Linked DNA regions of Macaca mulatta. The main gene of each other region encodes a partner of the protein of the gene in region 2 in a complex. Links are inferred from orthologs where the notes say so. Each region holds a gene or a part of one and is shown on either strand. Other genes may lie near its edges. The genes, in order: CDC7 and DBF4.

What was found.
Region 1: the proteins of DBF4 (region 2) and CDC7 are in contact, whole or in part, in a crystal structure (PDB 6YA8), measured with the Homo sapiens proteins. The link is inferred for Macaca mulatta from reciprocal best matches to the Homo sapiens genes DBF4 and CDC7. Residues at the interface, in NP_006707.1 of Homo sapiens: Thr210, Arg211, Thr212, Gly213, Arg214, Leu215, Lys217, Pro218, Phe219, Val220, Lys221, Val222, Glu223, Asp224, Met225, Ser226, Gln227, Leu228, Tyr229, Arg230, Pro231, Phe232, Tyr233, Leu234, Leu236, Met239, Pro240, Ile242, Asn243, Tyr244; in NP_001127891.1 of Homo sapiens: Asn56, Val57, Phe58, Ala77, Gln78, Leu79, Gln80, Ile87, Ile93, Pro94, Thr95, Ser96, His97, Pro98, Ile99, Arg100, Ile101, Ala102, Leu105, Gln106, Thr109, Lys121, Tyr122, Cys123, Phe124, Arg125, Asn127, Asp128, Val130, Leu143.

The regions. Positions count from the first base shown.
Region 1 is NC_133406.1:148,789,432-148,795,804, forward strand, and holds part of CDC7 (cell division cycle 7-related protein kinase), read right to left. Parts: intron 3,074-6,373; coding exon 2,924-3,073; intron 1-2,923. UniProt on the Homo sapiens protein: Kinase involved in initiation of DNA replication. Phosphorylates critical substrates that regulate the G1/S phase transition and initiation of DNA replication, such as MCM proteins and CLASPIN.
Region 2 is NC_133408.1:131,509,167-131,516,104, forward strand, and holds the start of DBF4 (protein DBF4 homolog A), read right to left. Parts: upstream 4,322-6,938; 5' UTR 4,082-4,321; coding exon 4,036-4,081; intron 2,767-4,035; coding exon 2,591-2,766; intron 1-2,590. UniProt on the Homo sapiens protein: Regulatory subunit for CDC7 which activates its kinase activity thereby playing a central role in DNA replication and cell proliferation. Required for progression of S phase.

The DNA.
Region 1 (6,373 bases), on a different chromosome or scaffold from region 2:
CTCTCCCTCACTAGAATTTAAGCTCTGTCAAAGCAGAGACTTGCAATAGTACTTGGCATACATAAAGCCCCAATAAATGCTTCTGAATGAACAAATAAACAAACTATATCTTAGTTTTTAAAAATATAAATGTCTGAAACAACTTCCTGATGGGTTTATTATCAGATGTGCAAAAAGAAGTTAATCACGCAAATGGCAATCATGTATTATTTTTGCCTTGCATTTACTTATTAAACATAAATGTACTAAACAATAAGTACCATAACATTTAGATGCTTTTCTGGGAATGTAGATTGTCAACAAAGTCATTAATCTGGCTGAGGATGATAAAAAGTTACCTTTCCCTATTCTGAACTAACTATTGGACTGATGTTTAACTAAGCCAGGGGAAAAAGAGGGGAGGGAAAGGGAGGAAACAAAAGAAACAATTACCAAAAACCAAATTCTATGAGGATACAATATGCCAATCCTTTTTTACTTTTGAACTGATTCTATCATTCCTATTCTCTCTGAAAAATCAGAGCCAGAGGGGAATACTCACATAGTTTTTTATTCATTAGCTTGTTCTGAAGTCATAAAATAATTAATAGTATACGTTATCGCATGTCCCCAAGTTATACAATATGCTTTTTTTTATATGACCAAAAAGAAGATTGATTTATAACATTCAGGAAAAATAACTCCAACTAACACGATCGGTCAACATACTTTGTTACAGACTACTATGTGTCAGGAATTTGTTTCAGCTCAAGACTTTTCTTTTTAATTTATCCAATACAATTCACTGAGTACTAAATGACAACCCACAATGGAGCCAGGTTTAAGGGCTGAAGACAGTGGAATAGGTTACAGATAAGAGAAGTAAAGGTGATCTCACTGCTAATCTCAGCTAAGTCATTTCTTTAGGTTACAAAGGGGAACACAGTTGTGTTTGCTGAAATTTTGAGGCTTTTATACTCAGTCCAAAGTTATAGTAAGATCTGACTGAAATAACTACAGATGTCATACTAATACAACTGAGACAAGTCCTATGGCATTATTTTTATTATTTGTTTTTTGAGACAGTCTTGCTCTGTCGCCAGGCTGGAGTGCAATGGTGCAATCTTGGCTCACTGCAACTGCCGTCTCCTGGCTTCAACTGCAGTTCTTCTGCCTCACAGCCTCCCGAGTAGCTGGGACTACAAGTGTGTGCTACCATGCCCAGCTAATTTTTGTGTTTTTAGTAGAGATGGGATTTCACCATATTACCCAGGATGGTCTCATCTCATGACCTCATGATCCGCCCACCTCAGCCTCTCGAAGTGCTGGGATTACAGGTGTGAGCCACCGTGCCTGGTCCTATTTTTTTTTCAAATATGAAAACAAGTATTACAATGATAAATCTCTAAAAGCTCTTGCTTGCTATCATGGCACTTGATCTGGAGTATTTTTGTGTCAGATGTTGTACTTCCATTGTTGGCCCTGATTATAACTTGGATTACCAATGGGGAGATTCAAGCTCTTCAATAAAATATTTTGGTGTTGGCTCATAAACTTCATGTTCATAAACCTCTCACCAAGTTATTCAATAGTAGATGAAAGTTTTCTCAGTTGAGAATAAACATACTTGTTATGTTTATTATTATGTAAGAATGCCATTTCTAAGATATCAATCTTGTTTTCCACTCATGGTCACTTTTCCCTTGTATGTATTATTTCATCCTATTATCTTCAAATAAAATTTTCTTACAGTAAGTACAAGATAGTTACAATTGTGGACCGACTTTGCTGTAGAAACATATTTTGGCAAGCCTCTATTAAGATGAGGCTTTCTTCACAACCACCAAGTTTTTCTTATAGATTGGACTATAGCACTAGTGCATAAGCTAGGGCAGTAATTTCTGCAGTGGTTCTTAAACACCTGTAGTTTCTTAGTCAAAATCACTTGTTTTTTCAAACTAACAAGGCTGGAGCCTTCCTAAGTATCTTATTTTTCTGAATCATATTTTCCAAGAATAGGTAGAGTGGGCAGGCATATGTATTTCTTAAAGATTCTCAGATAATTCTGACATGCAACCCCGGTTAAGACCCGCTGATCCTGGGGCTGAGCACAAGGCAGCCCAGCTACTCTTGAGGTAGGCTGGTTGAACCTTTATCTCCTGGGGTATTCTGTATTGTATGGTAGTAAGCTGACTCAATCCCACTTATTCCTTGGAAAGCATTAACTATAACTGAGCTTGGAAAATAAACATTAAACGGGCATTTGAGTTCAGACTGTTGGCCACAGCAAGGCTGAGATAATTCTCACGTGCCCTATGAAGTACACTGCACATCCCAGTCTTGAAGAACTTGCATGCTAAGGAGATGACATCCATGTCCAATATATGTTTACAATAATATCCCATCAGTTAAGGCCTTCTATGCATTCTGCTTCTCTGCTCCCATAAACCTACACAACCTGACAACACAAATTTCTATTCTCTTCCCTAATCCTTATTATACTATATTAATAATTGTTTACTTGTTAGTATAGCCTAAGATCATTTAAGGCAAGGACACTCTAAGTACCAAGACGTAGTACATCTGATGTTTAAAATACAATAAAAAAGTAAAACATATTATTAAAGGTAAATGTATGTAATAAAAGTCAAACCATAACTAAAAGGAGTTAAGATTTTACTCCTTATTCCTACAAAATTATACAGGTAAACTTTAAATACTGCAAAAGGTATTACTTGTGCTTAATAAGATTAAATGATTATATGTATAGAGGAGAGGTGATACGTTTATTTTCAAGCAATTGAAGAATTTTCTACTTAATATTAGAGAACTTTATCAAGACTCAATGTTTATTTGTAAAGAAAATTTCATAATAATTTATTAAGTGATTTGTAGGAGATAATCAAAGGCATTCTGTTTTGTTCTATAATACAAAACTGCTTACCAAAAGTTTTAGCAGCTTGGATAGTTTCTCTGGATCCCCGAATTGTCATAATTTGGGCCAAAGCAGTTAAATCATCACTTGCTTTATAAAATGGGTATCGTCCACTAAGCAAAGAAAGAAATATGACACCTGCAGACCACATGTCAATTGCTGCAATAGAAGACAAATTTTAAAAATAAATTTCAAGTCTATAATTTTATCATCTAAATCAATAGTCCTCAACATTTACTATGCATTAGAATCACCTTGGGAGCCTTAAAAAATTCAGATGCCCAGACCCAGAGATTTTGATTGAACAGTTCCAAAGTAGGGCTCAGGCATCAATGTTTTAAAAAAAGTTCCTCAGGTGATTTTAATGTACAACCAGGACTGAGAATCCTCACTGCAAAATATGTTTCTTTCTTAAGAAACATGTTGGTAAATTTAAAAGGATACTTAATCATTAGGAAACAATAACTAAATGAACATTTTATAGGATCAAAAGGAATCCAAAAACAGCTAAGAGGGAAAAAAATCTGAATGATCCTTGAGAATTACATACCATACTGGTCAAAATGCTTTCATTTTAGTGAAAAGTAATGAACATTAGAAGCTCTTCTTCAGCTGACACTACCACCAACTGCTGCTATAGAAACCTTTAAAAAAGTATTTTATTTTTATTTTTTTGTGGCTGTAAAGACTTTAATTTTTCTGAGTACACAGTAGGTATATATATTGATGAAGTATATAAGATGTTTTGATACACGCATGCCATGTGTAATAATCACATCCTGGAAAATAGGGTATCCATTCCCTCAAGCATTTATCCTTTGTGTTACAAACAATCCAATTAAATTCTTTTCTTTTTTTTTTTTGAGACAAGGTCTCGCTATGTGGCCCAGGCTAGAGTGCAGTGGCACAGTCTCAGCTCACAGCAACCTCTGCCTCCCAGATTCAAGCAATTCTCATGCTTCAGCCTCCTGAGTAGCTGGGATCACAGGCGTGTCACCATGCCCAGCTTTTTTTTTTTTTTTTTTTGTATTTTTAGTAGAGATGGGATTTTGCCACATTGGTCAGGTTGGTTTCAAGCTCCTGGGCTCAAGTGATCTGCCTGCCTCAGCCTCCCAAAGTACTCTTTTAGTTATTTTAAAATGTACAATTAAATTATTGACTATAGTCTCCCCGTTGTGCTATCAAATACTAGGTCTTATTCATTATTTTTTTTTCCGAGATGGGGTCTGGCTCTGTTGCCCAGGCTAGAGTGTGGTGGTGTGATCTCGGCTCACTGCAACCGCCGCCTCCCAGGCTCAAGTGATCCTCCCACCTCAGCCTCCTGAGTAGCTGGGTACACGGGTGCACACTACCACACCCAGCTACTTTTTTGTATTTTTGGTAGAAATAGGGTTCTACCATGTTGCCCAAGCTGGTCTCCAGCTCCTAAGCTCAAGCAATCCACCCGCCTTAGCCTCCCAAAATGCTGGATTATTCATTTATAACTATTTTTTGTACCCATTAGCAGTCCCCATGTCCCCCACACCCTCCCACTACCCTTCTCAGCCTCTGGTAACCATCTTTCCACTCTCTATGGGTTCAATTGTTTTGATTTTTAGATCCCACAAATAAGTGAGAACATGTAATGCTTGTTTTTCAGTGCCTGGCTTATTTCACTTGACATAATGATCTCCAGTTCCATCCATGTTGTTGCAAATGACAAGATCTTCTTTTTCATGGCTGAACAGTACTCCATTGTGTGTAAGTACCACATTTTCTTTATCCATTCATCTGTTGATGGACACTTAGGTCGCTTCCAAATTTTGACTATTATGAATAGTGCTTCAACAAACATGGGAGTGCAGATACCTCTTTGGTACACTGATTTTCTTTCTTTTGGGTATATACCTAGCAGTGGGATTGTTGGATCATGTAGTAGCTCTATTTTTAGTTTTTTGAGGAACGTCCAAATTGTTTTCCATAGTGGTTGTACTAATTTACATTCCCACTATAGAAACTTTAATCTTCTTAATTCTGGCTGTTAAAGATTACGACCAGCTCAACTTGATGTTAAAAAGCTTTTTTTTTTTTTTTTTTGGAGACGGAGTCTCGCTCTGTCGCCCAGGCTGGAGCGCAGTGACCGGATCTCGGCTCACTGCAAGCTCCACCTCCCAGGTTCACGCCATTCTCCTGCCTCAGCCTCCGGAGTAGCTGGGACTACAGGCGCCCGCCACCGTGCCCGGCTAGTTTTTTTGTATTTTTTTAGTAGAGACGGGGTTTCACCGTGTTAGCCAGGATGGTCTCGATCTCCTGACCTCGTGATCCGCCCGTTTTTTTTTTTTTTTTAAAGGGATATCTCTCCTAATTGTTGACCTCCTAGTATCACCAGGTTATTTGCTCTGTTCCTTCGGCTACTGTATCACTTTTTTTTTTTTTTGAGAGGGAGTCTCTGTTGCTCAGGCTGGAGTCCAATGGCACAATCTCGGCTCACTGTAACCTCTGTCTCCTGGGTTCAATTCTCCTGCCTCAGCCTCCGCAGTAGCTGGAACTACAGGCACGCACCACCATGCCCAGCTAATTTTTTGTACTTTTTAGTAGAGACGGGGTTTCACCATATTGGCCAGGCTGGTCTCAAACTCCTGACCTAGTGATCTGCCTGCCTTGGCCTCCCAAAGTGCTGGTATTACAGGCGTGGTGAGCCACTGTGCCCAGCCCTACATGCCTTTCTTAGCTCCTTTGGTACCTCTGCCTGCTCCTTCAATGTTTTCTCCAAGCCTTAAGTGCTGACTAATGTTCCTCAGAGTTTTAACTTCTCCCTCTGTATACTCTCCCTGATTGGTCCATCCACTTCATGGTTTCAACTGTCATTTATATAATGATGACATTCAACTGCATTTCTAGCCCAGCTCCTTCGCTGAGCATCAGACTTAACTTTGATTCTGTTGGATATCTCTATTTGGATGTCCCACAAATACCTCAAACCAATTATACCCAAAACCAACCTTACTTTCCCCTATAAACCAGTTACTTCTCCTTTACTCTCCACCTTGGTTACTGGTACACATCCAAGTCTCCCAAGCTAGGACTCTGGTAAATATCCTGAATGCCCTTTTCCCTCACCACACCACACCCAAATACTACATCCAATTATCCACCAAGCTCTGCCTTTTCCAACCCTTCACTTTTCTTTTTATTCCTATTACTAATACCCTCATTCACATTTTCATCCTCTCAACTGGAAAAATTCATGCCACCACTCTCCAAAAGCTAAACTGTTTGAACGCCTGCCAGAATGATCCATCTAGAATATACCATTGCCACTTCTTTTGCTTGATTATATGTACAGTATATAGTCCAAACTGTAACAACTGTGGTCTGACCTTGTCTACCTCATTCCAGGTTTATTTCTCACCATTCCTCAACTTGCATCTTAATATTCTAGCAACATTAGACTTTTTTCTTTTTTTCCGAGATGAAGTC
Region 2 (6,938 bases):
ATTAATTATAGAAAAGATAGTATGGGAAGATCAGAATTCAATAAATAAAACTTTTTTTTTTTAGAAGAAAGTTAATAAATCAAATTCAGTTGAAAATCCATAGCTTTGGATTTTTGGGAAATCCAAAGGAAAATTTGGAAACTCACACCCTTAATATGCTCCTAACTTCACTGGTCTACTTCAATCATTTCAGGGTAAGACTAAGTATGTAAAACCAAAAGCTCCCTCAACTATTATGTATGGCAGAAGTAATTCAAAATTTATTTCTTGCAATTACCTCAGGAACTGCTGTGGAGATAGAAGAAAGGTGACAGGGCAAGTGGTTCTTGCTTTAGCCTCAATACTGTTGTTTTAGCCTAAGGAGTTCCCTTTTTATAGGCTTTACATGTTAGACTTCTGAATATTATTTTGTTCAAAGGGTTCTACTGATAAAAACGCAAATCTAAATATCACTGATCTAGACCATTAGACCTAGAGTTAATGGGTTGTTCATCGTATTTGAGAAAGCTGTCATCAAATCACATCGGATAGCTACTTTAAGCTACTTTTTTTTTTTGGAGGGTCTCACTCTGTCACCCAGGCTGGGGTGCAGTGGCACAATCTTGGCTCACGGCAACCTCCACCTCCCAGGTTCAAGCGATTCTCATGCCTTGGCCTCCCAAGTAGCTGGGACTACAAGTATGCGCCACCATTCTTGGCTAATTTTTGTATTTTTTAGTAGACATGGAGTTTTGCCATGTTGCAAAGGCTGGTCTTGAACTCCTGGCCTCAAGCGATCTACCTGCCTCGGCCTCCCAAAGTGCTAGGATTACAGGTGTGAATTAACAGCCAGATAGCCATTTGTAGCCACTGATTGCTAGAGGAACAGAATGGTGCAGGAACTATGTTGCTGTTGGAATTAAGAAGCTAATACTGCTCTAACTGGGCCATTTACTTTCTCTGGACCTCAAGTACTTTGCTTCTAAGATGAAGGGGTCTTTTTTTACTCAATGTCTAAGGTCCTTAACACATTAAGATATGCTTAATAGACACACAGTCAATAGGGTGGCTGGCCTAGTAAACATGACCTTTAATGCTGTCGTATGATCATTACGATAAATATTACTATTACAAGCATGTCACAGTGTTTTAGTTTAACAAAATGAATAGTAAAAAAGTAGAGTAACTTTTCAGAGATAGGTAAATAAAATATCATATTAACAAACAGTTCCAGGAAACTTGTTAGCACATGTTCTTCTGGTAAGTTTCTAGTTTGGGAATTGGCAGGGCCTGGAGGGCTCATGCCTGTAAATCCCAGCACTTCAGAAGGCTGAGGTGGGCAAATCACCTGAGGTCAGAAGTTTGAGACTAGCCTGGGCAACATGGTGAAACCCTAACTCCACTAAAAATACAAAAATTACCCAGGAGTGGTGGCACTGCCTGTAATTGTAGCTACTCAGGAGGTGGAGGCTGAGGCATAAGAATCACTTGAAGCTGGGAGGCGGAGGTTGCAGTGAGCCGAGATCGCACCACTGCACTCCAACCCAGGCCATATAGAACGAGACTCCGTCTCAAAATAAAAATAAAATGAAAAGTTACCAGTCTGGGAATGAAAGGATCAGTTTAGACACTCAAAGACACAGACCTTCAGAAAGTCAAAGTCCAGTATGACCCTTTAAGACAGAAAAAACCTTTATCACCTCATTTGCTAAAATTCATCCAATATTAACCTTAATCCTATTAAGATCCTAGAATTTTGCCTGAGTTTTCTTTTTTTTTTTTTTTTGAGACAGAGTCTCGCTCTGTTGCCCCGGCTGGAGTGCAGTGGGGCGATCTTAGCTCACTGCAAGCTCCGCCTCCTGGGTTCACACCATTCTCCTGCCTCAGCCTCCGAAGTAGCTGGGACTATACGCGCCTGCTACCGCGCCCAGCTAATTTTTTTTTTTTGTATTTTTAGTAGAGATGGAGTTTCACCGTGTTAGCCAGGATGGTCTCGACCTCCTGACCTTGTGATCCGCCCGCCTCAGCCTCCCAAAGTGCTGGGATTACAGGCGTGAGCTACTGTGCCCGGCCTTTGCCTGAGATTTCTAATTTCCCAATCATCTAATCAGTGTACAAGGTAGGAAAGTATCTCCAGATTCTTAATGCAAATTTTTATTCCTTTAATAACATTCATTCTGTTGAAACAGCATCTGTATCGCTCAGGAACAATTTTAACTGTGTGGTTTGCATGGGTGTTCTGTAATAACATTCTTAATTGTTACACTAGTCCATACAAACTTACGTAGCTCCCCAAGATTCATAATCAAGAAACTGCTGTCATCTGGAGGACATTCCAACATTACAGTAAGCAGTTCCATTAGGACAGGGGAGTCTTATACGCTGGGAACTTTATACTAGACTGCTAATCGGAGAAACCTGAAAGTTTTGCCAGTCCACAAAAGGTTAAAACAAATGGTTTTTCATTAACGATAAACAGCTGATAATAATGTTAATCTTGGTGCTAACAGAAGGGTTTAACTTTTCTAAAATGAAAAATTTAAATGATTACATAGTAGAAAGTAGTAGTTACAAATTTTTCCTTCTATGCCAGTTTAGGGTTTTCACTTACCCCTCCCAGATCCTTAATGTCCTTTTGCAGTTTTTCAGATATGGTGACAGAAGGTAAGTCAAGGTAAAATACTTTTCCCAAAAGTGGCTTGTATTTGGATTTTTCTGGCCTGTTATCAGTTTTCAGAGATTTCAAAGATGGTCTGTTTTTTTCATTTTTGACTTGGATTCCACCTGCTATTAAAGATATTTAGAATCAGATGTTTTACACAGACACTTGTACTATTTTTAAAACATTTCATTATACAATATTACAAAATAAAAATCCTTACAATCCTACCAGTTTATTAGCACTGAAATGTATTTCTTTGTAGCACTACTTAGGACAGAGGCAAAATGCTCTATATATTTTCACAGACCGCATATTGTAAAATAATAGTTGACTCAGCAAGAAATATTCTTGTATTTATTCCTGAGGCACGGGACTATATAAAACTCTTTTGAAAGATTTTCTTCTTTAGGATGTAAACTCCATGGGGGTATTTAATACTCAACTACTTATTGAGCATCTGCCATTCTGCTGAACATTCAAAACTGGTGTTTAAACTTCATTTAGCGATGAAAGAATCCTGTTACCCAGAATAACCTAGTCAAGGGTTTCAGACTGCTCAAGTTTTAGTTTCATATAAAGTTTGTCTGCATGTTAACAACTAAATGGTCCATTTCACATACAATTTGTCTTTGTATTAGGAATTTAACGGTCCATTACGAAGAACTAAACCTTTCATTTCATTATTTTCATTAAAAACAGATCTGAGATCCGAGCAACTGCTTTAAAAATTAATTTTTCAAACGCAACCTGTTCTTAAATTGGTAATTACTACACATATACAAATACCTGTACAAAAACTTAGGTGGTGGAATGTTTCACCAAATAAAGTGATTGAAAATGGAAATGTGCTTTTGTTTCCCTGTTTGTAATGTTGAAACCAGCAATGGGATGTTTGAAATACAAATGCTTTCCCCCAACTTATGAGGAAGGGAAAATAAACTTTCAAGGGTTAAGACCAAAAATCCACCCACAATCACTCAATCTAATACTGAAGCGAAAAGCGACGAGCGTGTCTGACTTTAAACTGAGGATGCTGTCCGTCGCCTCCAAGGGCCCGGGCGGAGGCGCAGCATCTGCGGAAGCCGGGCAGAAGAGAGCACGGCAGCCCCAGCGAGGTCCCGGATCTGCACATTGTTTGCTAGTTTTCAACCGAAGGCACGACCGGGAATGAATCTGGGTCCGCCGCTGTAAAGGGCAGAGCGCTCGAGGGGCCGGGCCGGAATCCGTTCCTTCTTAGACAAAACACTGAAGGAGCCCCTTCCTTCAGACCCCAGAGGAGGGCGGTCAGAAAAAAAAAGCTGAGGAACCGGCGGGAGAAGTCTGAAGAATCAATGGTGGAACCACGAGGGGAGGAAAGGATTAAAGGGACTGCAGGCGGAGGAGGGGCTTCTTACCCTGGAAATGCCCTTTACTGTGGATCCTCATGGCTCCGGAGTTCATGGCAGTCGCCCGGTACCTACATGCTGGGTCCGGAGAAAGTGTCGCGCTGGGCGGCCACGAAAGCACGGCTTCCCCAGGCCTGTTGACAGGACGGCCGCCTCTCTCCTTCCGCCGGCTACGGCCTCCACGCAGCAGAGGTACCGCGTCTGCGGGTCGAGTTTCCGGGGCCGGATCCGGCTCCAAAGCGCGGAGGAGGAAGGCGCAAAGCACAAACGAGTGGGTTGCGGCGGTTGAAGATTTGAAAACGCGTCACGCGGCCGCGGCGCCGATACGCGCGCCCCGCCCCGTCTCACGCCGCGCGCCGTGCCCCGCCTCGCGCTCGCCCCTCGTGCCCGCCTTCTCGCGCCGCGCGCCCCGCCCCCTCACGCCGCTGTCCTTGTGGCGCCTCGCTCGGTCTCCGCAGGATATGTGTTCCCCTCTGCCCCGCTCCCATTCCGATGCCCTCTCAGCCTCTGACCCCGGCTCTCAGTCCGCCGCTTCAGGTCTTGGCGCAGCCACAGAGAGTTGGCGCGGCTCTGTGTTGACCAAACCTAGTGGATGCAGTTAGCGCTGGAGCCCTGCCCCGCCCATCACCAGGGTTATTTCCGCCTTCTAGGTTTGCCAGGACCGCCGGCCTTCCAGCTGCTTTCTCCCCCAGGTATGCTAATTTTCCACTGGTCGGACGTCTGGGAGGCTGAAGGCGAGGGGCTTCGGCCGATCCCGGACTCAGCTCTGGCCGGGGCCGGAGCCGGGCGGTGGCGGCAGCCGCAGCCCCTGCTCAGCGCGCCCTGGGTCGCACAGCCAGCGGGGTTTTCCCGCGGTCACTGCCGACCCCGCCGGCTGAGGACAGGCCGCAGAGCGACTTGCGGGAGAGAGAGCGGTCCCGGGGGACGTCGGAGGGAGGAGGCGGCCCCCGGTCGTGACGGCAGCGACACCCCAGAACGCGTCCAGGTCACTTTGTGTCCTTGGGTAGTTGGCTATTTGCGCTGCCCTGTTGACTTTTATTGTATACAGAACTGTTTTTGTTTACTTGTGTGTAACTTTATTTCAATAATGAAGGAGTGGAAAGTAACATCACATTTTTTTTTCTGTAAAACAGATTAAAGATCAAATTAAAATGTTGTGAATATATTTTAATTTTATAAGTTGGAACATGCCTCGCCAAAAAAAAATCTGTTTCTTCGGGAGGAAGAGGATGTTTTGAACTATTTTGCGTTCCTCTACTCCAGGCCATAATAGGCACTCCTGTAATGGTTGTTTTTTTTACCTGGTAGCTCAAGGAAGTCAGAGTGTCAGCGTTACAGTTTTGCAGGTAGGTACCTCAAAGAATAGACAAGGGTGGGTTGTGCCAATATTAGCTGGAGAACTCAGAGAACACGTTTGCTAAGGGAAATGAGAGTTTGGTTTTAGACAGGTTTATGTTGAAGGCCCTGGGGCGACAATCATGGAACTATGCTTATTAGACAGTTGAAGATGTTTATGACTCGAGAGAAATGTCTAGGAAAAGTGGACATGGGAAGAGGAAATAGAGTGATTTGATATCTCTCCAATAAAATATTTCTACCTCACGGTCTGTTGATTTTAATCATGGGGCAGTTCATTAAAGGTTAACAGATCTTGAGTGGTGGAAGGAAGTGTGGTTTAAGTAAACATATTCAATATTGTAATTTCTATGGGAACTTATTTTCAAAATACAAGCTACAGAGAGCACAAAATGTCTATATTAACAGAAAGATTTAAAAAGTTGGGAAGCACTAATATATAATGTAATTAAAGCTCTGGGAGGAAATGAAATTGCCAAGGAGAGCATGTGAAATGAGAGAACTGATTAAAAGCGTGGTTGATGAAATACTGAAAGATATGGAGGAAATGCCACAGAATTGGGAAGAGACTGCAAACATTAGAATCATATGGGCTTCACTACTTGGCCTCTGGGTAATTTTGAGCCCCAATTTTAATCTGTTAAAAGGGGGTAATACTTCTCAGGGATGTTGTAAAGGTTAAATGAACATTTTTGAATGCTTAGTACAGTACCTGGCACAGAGGAGAGCTCCTTAAGAGCTCTGTAATTATATCCTAGTGAGCGCTGCACCAGTTCCTTCATCCCCAGGACAGGTAAGATTAAGACTTGAAAAATACGTGTTTGATTTTGGCGTTTCAGGTATCATTGGTTTCCTTAAGGGTAATTTGAGTGGGTGGCGGAGATGAGTACAGTACTAGATAAAAATGATCAGCTTGAAGTTCAGACAGGTTGAGTGTACTCTTTCAAAAAAATTGTTATTTTAGGAAAGTACAATGGAGGGAAGACTTGATCTTTGGAAGGTTTAGAGGATGTGGGAAAGATTTAAGCATGCTTCTATTGAGGAACATTTTTTCAAAAAAGGAAGTCCATTTTATGTTCTTGTGAAAGATGAGTTGTGTGTCTTATTTACTGTGAAGAGGAAGGACAGTAACATAGTTGCACCCTATGCTGTTAGACTCACCCTTGACTGCACTGAAGGTGGTAATTCCGAGCAATAAATAAACAGGAAGTCTGCTTTACTCGATAGTTAGTAATTTTCTAATCTATTATCCGAGGTTAGTTTTTAAAAATATTACTGGAACCTAAATCTTTTAGTAGCCACAGAAAGGACGTGGCTATAGTCAGTAATGATACAAACCTCCTTTTTATTGTCCAGTGGTCAGGTCTGTTGGTAAGAGGATGGGGTTTGTCTTAAAGTAGATCTTGAAAATATGCTTGAAAACATTCCTTCAGAGGAAGGGTAGACATTCAAGAAGTGAATGGGGGCGGGGTTATTTATGGTGAGAAACTATGTTCAAGAGTTATATTAGGCAAAATTGGAGAACATTGAGCAGAATCATGATCTAATTAAATGAA